3 linked regions of the Saccharomyces cerevisiae S288C genome follow. The gene in region 1 interacts genetically with each later gene. Each region holds a gene or a part of one and is shown in the gene's direction. Other genes may lie near its edges.

Evidence for each region.
Region 2: of TCA17 (region 1) and CSH1, a mutation in one rescues a mutant of the other (synthetic rescue), as found in Saccharomyces cerevisiae (one study listed by BioGRID).
Region 3: mutations in TCA17 (region 1) and TRS33 impair growth when combined (synthetic growth defect), as found in Saccharomyces cerevisiae (2 studies listed by BioGRID, with this or other methods).

Annotation. Positions count from the first base shown.
Region 1 is NC_001137.3:64,056-67,128, reverse strand, and holds TCA17 (Tca17p), read left to right. Parts: upstream 1-1,961; coding exon 1,962-2,420; downstream 2,421-3,073. Other genes in the region: FRD1 (fumarate reductase), read left to right, coding at 332-1,744; seripauperin PAU2, read right to left, coding at 3,039-3,073. UniProt on the Saccharomyces cerevisiae protein: Required, together with the TRAPP II subunit TRS33, for TRAPP II complex assembly or stability, and for proper Golgi localization of TRAPP and the Rab GTPase YPT31.
Region 2 is NC_001134.8:559,788-563,511, forward strand, and holds CSH1 (mannosylinositol phosphorylceramide synthase catalytic subunit CSH1), read left to right. Parts: upstream 1-1,846; coding exon 1,847-2,977; downstream 2,978-3,724. Other genes in the region: cyclin-dependent serine/threonine-protein kinase CDC28, read left to right, coding at 291-1,187; TOS1 (Tos1p), read right to left, coding at 3,416-3,724. UniProt on the Saccharomyces cerevisiae protein: Involved in the synthesis of mannosyl phosphorylinositol ceramide. Catalyzes the addition of mannosyl to phosphorylinositol ceramide.
Region 3 is NC_001147.6:538,159-541,072, reverse strand, and holds TRS33 (Trs33p), read left to right. Parts: upstream 1-1,607; coding exon 1,608-2,414; downstream 2,415-2,914. Other genes in the region: DNA-directed RNA polymerase III core subunit RPO31, read left to right, coding at 1-1,310; mitochondrial HMG-box protein CIM1, read right to left, coding at 2,619-2,914.

The DNA of each region.
Region 1 (3,073 bases):
CAGGATTTCGACGTACACCTTTTATACAAATATATATATATATTTATATGTATGCGTAAGAGTCTAAAAAACGTTCACTTTAATTCCTTTTTTGCTTTTACTACTATTGTCTTTCTTCTTTCATTTGTCATCATGCAGTGAATGACTGAAACAATAGAGACAGGTATGAAAAAGAAAATTTTTTTCTTTTCAAACGGTAACGGGGGCAACGCGTCGCGTTCCTGAACAGCTTAATCTATTGCACGTATAAAAGCTGAGAACAATACGCTGACATAGCACCCCATTTTTTTTTCTTATCTTCACTTCAACAACCCCTCATCCGTAATTGTAAATGTCTCTCTCTCCCGTTGTTGTTATTGGAACCGGTTTGGCCGGGCTGGCTGCTGCCAATGAATTGGTTAACAAGTATAACATCCCTGTAACCATCCTCGAAAAGGCTTCCTCGATCGGTGGGAACTCTATCAAGGCCTCCAGTGGTATTAACGGTGCTTGCACCGAGACTCAACGTCACTTCCACATCGAGGACTCCCCACGCTTATTTGAAGATGACACCATCAAGTCTGCTAAAGGTAAAGGTGTCCAAGAATTAATGGCTAAGTTGGCCAATGATTCTCCCCTGGCTATTGAATGGTTGAAAAACGAATTTGATTTGAAATTGGACCTATTGGCTCAATTGGGTGGCCACTCTGTGGCAAGAACTCACAGATCGTCTGGGAAGTTGCCTCCAGGTTTCGAAATTGTTTCTGCCTTATCTAACAATTTGAAGAAATTAGCTGAGACTAAACCAGAGTTAGTTAAGATTAACTTAGACAGTAAAGTCGTAGACATCCATGAAAAGGATGGCTCCATTTCTGCTGTAGTGTACGAGGACAAGAATGGCGAAAAGCACATGGTGAGTGCTAACGATGTCGTTTTTTGTTCTGGAGGGTTTGGCTTTTCTAAGGAAATGCTTAAAGAATACGCACCCGAACTGGTGAACTTGCCAACAACAAACGGGCAACAAACAACTGGTGATGGTCAAAGGCTTCTGCAGAAGTTAGGCGCTGATCTGATTGACATGGACCAAATTCAAGTTCATCCAACTGGGTTCATTGATCCAAATGACCGTAGCTCAAGCTGGAAATTCTTGGCTGCCGAATCCTTAAGAGGTCTTGGTGGTATCCTATTAAACCCTATTACCGGTAGAAGATTTGTCAACGAATTGACCACAAGAGATGTAGTCACTGCAGCTATTCAAAAGGTTTGTCCTCAAGAGGATAACAGAGCACTATTGGTTATGGGCGAAAAAATGTACACAGATTTGAAGAATAATTTAGATTTTTACATGTTCAAGAAACTTGTACAGAAATTGACATTATCTCAAGTTGTTTCTGAATATAATTTACCAATCACTGTCGCCCAATTATGCGAGGAATTGCAAACATACTCTTCCTTCACTACCAAGGCTGATCCGTTGGGACGTACCGTTATTCTCAACGAATTTGGCTCTGACGTTACTCCAGAAACTGTGGTTTTTATTGGTGAAGTAACACCGGTTGTCCATTTCACCATGGGTGGTGCTAGAATCAATGTCAAGGCTCAAGTCATTGGCAAGAACGACGAAAGGCTACTAAAAGGCCTGTACGCGGCCGGTGAAGTTTCTGGCGGTGTTCATGGCGCCAATAGGTTGGGTGGTTCAAGTTTGTTAGAATGCGTTGTCTTTGGGAGAACCGCAGCTGAATCTATTGCCAATGACCGCAAGTAACGAATTTTATAAATGAATCATTTCTAAACGATTTTTTAATAGTATATAAGTAGTATTAATATTATTATTATTTTTTTTTTTTTTTTTTTTTCACTTTCGAAGTTCTGCCGGAAGAGCTCATCGACGGCCAAGAAACATTTTACATAAAAGTTATTGAGTTGAAAATTGAGTAAATATTCTCTCCAAAAATCAAATTGTACGTTTATATCACCAAACTATGAGCTTGAGGCCTTGCTTCGTATCATTGATAGATGAATCTGATAAACCTATATTGATTTACGTCCCTAATGAGGCGGAGAATGAGATGAATGATGTACTCAAATATAACGTGCTTTCTAACATATCGTTAGATTATTTTGAAAGTGCTTTGGTTGAATGGCATTCTTTAGATTCCAAACCTCTTCTGAAGTCAATTTTTCAATTGGAAGGTGTCTCTGTATTTGCTATGTTGATTAAGCAGACGGGCCTGAAGATTGTCATTGGATTTGAACAAAAAAGCCTAAGTGGAGCTGATGATGAATTTGAAGCAATCAATCAGATTTTCGAAACCGTAAGAAAAATCTATATACGTGTCAAATGTAATCCTTTACTTGTTAGCGGTGACGAAAAGTCCATTATAAAAAGCTTGGAAAGAAAATTTGATGAGTTGTTTATTTCAACTGAAGTTGAATTATAAATGATAATTTATTAGTCGATTCTTTCACGAATGAAAGCAAAATTTAATGTCACTGCTTTGGAGTGAGAGCGATTCAGAGAAGTTATTAATGTCTAATATGTCCAACTTGGTGACAGTTTCGCCTTGCCTAATTAGCGGGGATCAGGTGCCGGTAGTATATCTCAGATGACCGTGACAATCAAACTTTCTACTTCATTCAAGTGACTGTCAATTGTCATGCTGTTCATGAATAAATAAGATACGGAGACAATTAAGGCGATCGCTTTGACTCTACTGCTAACGAAAATTGTCCGAATTGAACAGATGTGGAAGCAATCACTATACGTTACTTCATAATGAAGATATTTGTTGGCTTTCCGAGATATAGACTGATCTTTGTCACTTCATATCCGGCACGGCAATTTTTACATGGGATGGCTCGTCATAAAGATACTGCGACCTTTGGAAAGTCTGAAATAAGTGCTAGGTTATGGTTACAACGAGAATTGACAGATATGATGTGATTGTTCACGTATGTACGTATAAAGATATTTATACTACCAAAAAAAAAAAAAGGGTTTTTTTTTATTTCATTATCTAAGTTTCATAGCATTTCCTTCATTAAATTGGCGTTTGTCTCTAGTTTGCGATAGTGTAGATACCGTCCTTGGATA
Region 2 (3,724 bases), on another chromosome or scaffold:
TACAAGAAAAGCATGGCTTATGTATTATACTTGCTTATGTACCAATATATACATATATGGCCTTATTAGGGCAACAAACGCCAAAAATAAAAACGAACCTAAATGAGAAAAAAAGAGAAAAATTTGGAAAACAACAAGAACTCAAAAAAAAAAATTGGTGGAAGGACCAAGTCCTCTTGAAAGAAAATTTAATACTGCTTTTCCAGAATATCATATTGGAAAAAATATTCAAGCCAGCACATCAGCTACAGTGGAAAATAGCCCAGATCAAATAGAACTATCCTTCGAACATGAGCGGTGAATTAGCAAATTACAAAAGACTTGAGAAAGTCGGTGAAGGTACATACGGTGTTGTTTATAAAGCGTTAGACTTAAGACCTGGCCAAGGTCAAAGAGTAGTCGCATTGAAGAAAATAAGACTAGAGAGTGAAGACGAGGGTGTTCCCAGTACAGCCATCAGAGAAATCTCATTATTGAAGGAATTAAAAGACGATAATATTGTCAGATTATACGATATTGTTCACTCTGATGCACACAAGCTATATCTTGTTTTTGAGTTCCTCGATTTGGACCTGAAAAGATATATGGAGGGTATTCCAAAGGACCAACCGTTAGGAGCTGATATTGTTAAGAAGTTTATGATGCAACTTTGTAAGGGTATTGCATACTGCCACTCACACCGTATTCTGCATCGTGATTTAAAACCGCAGAACTTATTGATTAACAAAGATGGGAATCTAAAACTAGGTGATTTTGGCTTAGCGCGTGCTTTTGGTGTTCCGTTGAGAGCTTACACACATGAAATTGTTACTCTATGGTATAGAGCTCCGGAGGTATTACTGGGTGGAAAACAATATAGTACAGGTGTCGATACATGGTCCATCGGCTGTATATTTGCCGAAATGTGTAACAGGAAACCAATCTTCAGTGGCGATAGTGAGATCGATCAGATTTTCAAGATATTCAGAGTATTGGGAACGCCGAATGAAGCTATATGGCCAGATATTGTCTACTTGCCTGATTTCAAGCCAAGCTTTCCTCAATGGCGCAGAAAAGACCTATCACAAGTGGTACCAAGTCTAGATCCACGCGGTATTGATTTGTTGGACAAACTCCTCGCGTATGACCCTATTAACCGGATTAGCGCCAGAAGAGCAGCCATCCACCCCTACTTCCAAGAATCATAAGCATTATAATCTATTTCGCTATTATATTACAAATGCTACTGCACTGTCATTATAGCCTAGTAAAGTATATAGTGAATACAATATACTCAGTTTCAACATTATGATGGGTAACTCCATCAGAAAATATATTCATCGTCATATACGGAACATTCAGTTATACGCGAAAGTAAAAGTGAGAGCTTTTCAGGGGTTAAAAGCTGGGCGTGTTCCATGACGTATTTACCGAGGTCGTATTATCAAAGAAAATGAAAAAAAAAAAAAAAAAAAAAAAAGCGAAGAGGAAAAAGACAAACGAAAAACAAAACGAAATAACGCATTGTATGCTGGGGCCTCAATTGAACTTCTTTGACTATAAGGAGTTCGCTTGTTTAAAGCCGTTTCGCATCTGACTCGCCCTTGGTTTTTTTCTCTGTTCTTGTTTTTGACCTCCGCAAATTCATTGCTCTTTGAATTTTGAAGAGTTTCATTGTCACCGTTGAATAACCGAGACGGGTATTGTTTTTATTTCCTTCATTATTTACATCGCAACACGATTTTTATTAGCTTCCTCAAGGAGCGCTGACCGTATATAATATAATTTCAACAACCGAACAAGGCAGTGCGAAGCGGTGCACCTTACAACAGTGCTAAAGTAGTTACAGTAAACCAATTAATACGTGATGAAGAAGGAGTTGAAAATTCTTATAATAGCGAACATTGCATTACTTATCTCTATAATACATTACACATTTGATTTGTTGACGTTATGTATAGATGATACTTCCAAAGATGCGCTAACAGATGAACAGCTGAACCCCCCCAATGGCTTCAATTCAACATTCTATGAGTCTCCTCCTCAACTCATACCGAAAATCATTCATCAAACCTACAAAACAAACGATATCCCAGAACAGTGGGTAAAAGGGAGGCAGAAGTGCATTGATTTACATCCGGATTACACTTACATTTTATGGACGGATGAAATGTCTGATACTTTCATTAAACAGGAATACCCGTGGTTTCTTGACACCTTTAGGAGTTATGAATATCCAATTGAGAGGGCGGATGCAATACGGTATTTCATCCTTTCGCATTATGGTGGTATTTACATTGACTTGGATGATGGTTGTGAAAGAAGGCTAGACCCTTTGTTGAAAGTACCAGCATTTCTAAGGAAAACTTCGCCTACAGGAGTGTCAAATGATGTGATGGGCTCTGTTCCAAGGCACCCCTTCTTCTTGAAGGTCATCAAATCGTTGAAACACTATAAGAAAAACTGGTACATTCCATATATGACAATCATGGGCTCTACGGGCCCCTTATTCATTAGTGTGGTTTGGAAGCAATATAAGAGATGGTCTAATACGGCCGAAAATGGTGCGGTAAGAATTTTACAACCTGCAGATTATAAAATGCATAATAATTCTTTTTTCTCAATATCTAAAGGTTCCTCCTGGCATACGGGTGATGCCAATTTTATGAAAACTCTAGAGAATCACATCTTGTCTTGCGTGGTTACCGGATTCATTTTTGGCTTTTTCATATTATACGGTGAATTTACATTTTATACTTGGCTGTGCTCGGGACCATTTAACAACAAACGCTATTACATTCAGTGGTTGAGTGACAAGTTCAAGTTACACAAGTGGAAACTAACATCGTCTTACAAGAATAAGGAAAAGAGGCGGAATCCTACTCGTCACGAATATAATTCGAGGGGTAAGAGATTAAGAAAAGATTCTAATATCCCCTACGACAGCGTTTTCCTTGATATAGAAAAGAATCACGCAAAATTTACCGACTTAACCTGATTGAATTGCCACTGTTCTACCCCTATAATATTGTGAGCATGGATAAATCTCAAAAACAATGGCGTATAGATATATAACAGGTATTAAATCTTAGTATTTAAGAATTACAAGTAACATGCATTCCTATAAAAATTAAAGAGAAAAAAATTCGATTATAAAATAGTACAATGTCCAGAAGCTTGGTTTTTAATAGTATATAATAAAGATAAAGATAGATAGAGAACATAACTCTAAACTTTAAGAGTGAATTTTTTTTTTTTAGTTTAGTTTTTTTTTTTTTTTTTTTTTACAATAATGTATTGTTCTTGGAAAATAACACAATCTGTTCAAAGTGGACAGAAACCCTAAAACAAAAATAATAACGGGGAAGGAAAAAAATAGCAAGTGAAACATAAATGAAAAAAAGGAAAATTTTATTGGTTAATAAGAAACGATCGACTATGGCAAGGCCGCAGAAGAACCGGACTTGCTCAACCATTGGTCAACGACATCATCGCTTAAAGTAGCATCAAAGCTTTCGTCGACTTCGATAATGTGAATAGTTTTATCACTTGAATTAAAGATTACGGCAGCCTTTAAAGTACCATCAGTTGGTCTCTCGAAGTAATCTTGAGTACCACCATCTTGGCCGTCATGGATGTGTGAGATTAATTTATCAGAACCAGCGGTCAAAATTTCGAACAAATCCATTTCACCACAGCCAGTTTTCCAACAAGAACAAGATGCATCACCATATTGCAAGGTTCT
Region 3 (2,914 bases), on another chromosome or scaffold:
CCAGGGGAATGTTAGGCCTATTAGAACCTCCTGCAAAAGAATTACAAGGTATTGATCCAGATGAAACCGTTCCTGATAATGTTAAAACATCTGTAAGCCAACTTTATAGAATCAGTGAAAAATCGGTGAGAAAGTTTTTAGAAATTGCTCTTTTCAAATATCGTAAGGCAAGACTGGAGCCAGGTACTGCTATTGGTGCTATTGGTGCTCAATCCATTGGTGAACCAGGTACACAAATGACATTGAAGACCTTTCATTTTGCAGGTGTGGCTTCCATGAATGTTACATTAGGTGTTCCTCGTATCAAAGAAATTATCAATGCTTCCAAGGTCATTTCTACACCTATTATAAATGCTGTATTAGTAAATGATAACGATGAAAGGGCTGCTAGGGTTGTTAAAGGTAGAGTGGAAAAGACACTGCTATCTGACGTAGCTTTCTATGTCCAAGATGTTTACAAAGACAACTTGTCTTTCATTCAAGTGCGTATTGATTTAGGTACGATTGATAAACTACAATTGGAGTTGACCATAGAAGATATCGCGGTTGCTATAACCAGGGCTTCTAAATTGAAAATACAAGCCTCTGATGTCAATATTATTGGTAAAGATCGAATTGCAATCAACGTATTCCCAGAAGGGTACAAAGCAAAATCGATATCTACATCTGCGAAAGAACCAAGTGAGAATGATGTTTTTTACCGAATGCAACAGTTACGTCGTGCGCTTCCTGATGTTGTTGTTAAAGGTTTACCTGATATTTCTCGTGCGGTTATTAATATTCGCGATGACGGCAAGAGGGAATTATTGGTTGAAGGTTACGGCCTGCGAGATGTGATGTGTACAGATGGTGTCATTGGTTCTAGAACTACAACTAACCATGTTTTAGAAGTCTTTTCCGTTTTGGGTATCGAAGCTGCAAGATATAGCATTATTAGAGAAATTAACTATACCATGAGTAATCACGGTATGAGTGTCGATCCACGTCATATCCAACTATTAGGTGATGTGATGACATATAAGGGTGAAGTGTTGGGTATTACAAGATTTGGTTTGAGTAAAATGAGGGACTCTGTTTTGCAGCTAGCCTCCTTCGAAAAGACAACTGACCATTTATTCGATGCGGCCTTTTATATGAAAAAGGACGCTGTTGAAGGTGTTTCTGAATGTATTATTTTGGGTCAAACGATGTCGATCGGTACCGGTTCCTTTAAAGTTGTTAAAGGTACTAATATATCTGAAAAGGATCTGGTTCCTAAGCGATGTCTATTTGAAAGTCTCTCAAATGAGGCAGCTTTAAAAGCGAACTAAAGTAGTCGTTTTTAAACTTTTTTATAGCATTTGTATTATTTTTCTACCACAGTCATTTAACGTATTTATACATATAAAACTACATGATAAAAACCATGAAACAAAATTTACTTATAAGAAATTTGCTTTCTTCACATTAGTAGAACCAGCGTATCGTTTTCAAAAACTCGCGTCAACGTTTTGAGACCAAAAATGCTAAATATTTTGGAATCTGGTATGCACTCACAAGCTGAGAGTGAAGACCTCATGCCATAAAAGAAAACATACACCGGTTATAAAGTTGGAAGATAAACAATTATGTCCTCTACACATAGTAATAATGTAGGACATCCCCAATCTTCTCCACAAGGTCCACTAACGGAACAACAAAGAGCACAACAGCAATATCAAATTTTTGAGAATTCATTACCAAAAGTAAGTCAATCTGTGTATCAGATGCTGTTGAACGAGATGGTTCCTCTAGCTATGGGCATTGAGAGGCAAATATCAGGCGATGTTATCAGTTCTGATAGCAATGTAACTTCCGAAAATGGTAACATCAACAATATGATAAAGAGACTGAAGATAGAGGAACATCATACAGTAGATATCATACGTTCTCATAACTTGATACATGAGCTGTATAAGGCGGATGAAGAGGAAAAAGAAAAGGTTTTAGCAAGACTGAGGAATATTGGGTTTCAAATCGGATTGAAGCTGTCAGAGTTATTGATATTTTCTAACAACCCAAATTTAAAATTCAAGGAAATGGACCTTCTATTAATAATGAAGTTCATTTGTAGGGATGTCTGGAAACAAATATTTGGTAAACAGATCGATAATTTAAAAACAAACCACAGAGGAACCTTTTACCTTCTTGATTATGACTATCGACCTATTCAATCATTTTCTTTGGAGGAAGATGCAAAAAACGAGGAGTTAAAAATGATAGAACCGTTTTTGGAGATACCTGTGGGAATTATTAGAGGCGTGTTGTCTTCCTTAGGTTATTCATCTGAAGAGGTCATTTGCTTGGCGTCTTTTATCGACAGGCCAACAGATAGGCCTAAAACAGCTTTTCCCAAGGGAGTTAGCTTCCATGTTCAAGTCACAATGCCGCAGTAAAGGTCCGACAGATTTTTGTTCTAAGAATGTACATCGACATATAGATAGATATAAGTGTGTATATAAAAGAACAGGTGACTCCGTTTTCAAAATAATACCCTTACTATAAAATCTTGACAATAATTTCTTTGATCAAGGTACATATAGTCTTTATGATAGTGAAGTGCTTTCGTGGACTCTTCTTAAAGCCCTAAAAGTCTATTGTCATTTCTTTTTTAGTAGGTACGTCATGGGAAGAATATTATTTGGTTGTGTATTTGTATCGTGATTCGCTGCTGTAAGATAGGACTCACTTCTGAGACCAAACTTTGACATGATATCCATGTTTTTTTGTAATATTTGTATCTCGTTATCCATCATTTCCTCAAATTTTGCCCTCCATACCTGTAATTTTTTTCTAATTTCTAGTTTCTGGTCATAGTCAACCTCTTCGTTCCAAGCATACCGGCATTCTTTGCACATTTGTTGAAACCTTTTCATATAATCATAAAGGTAATTTT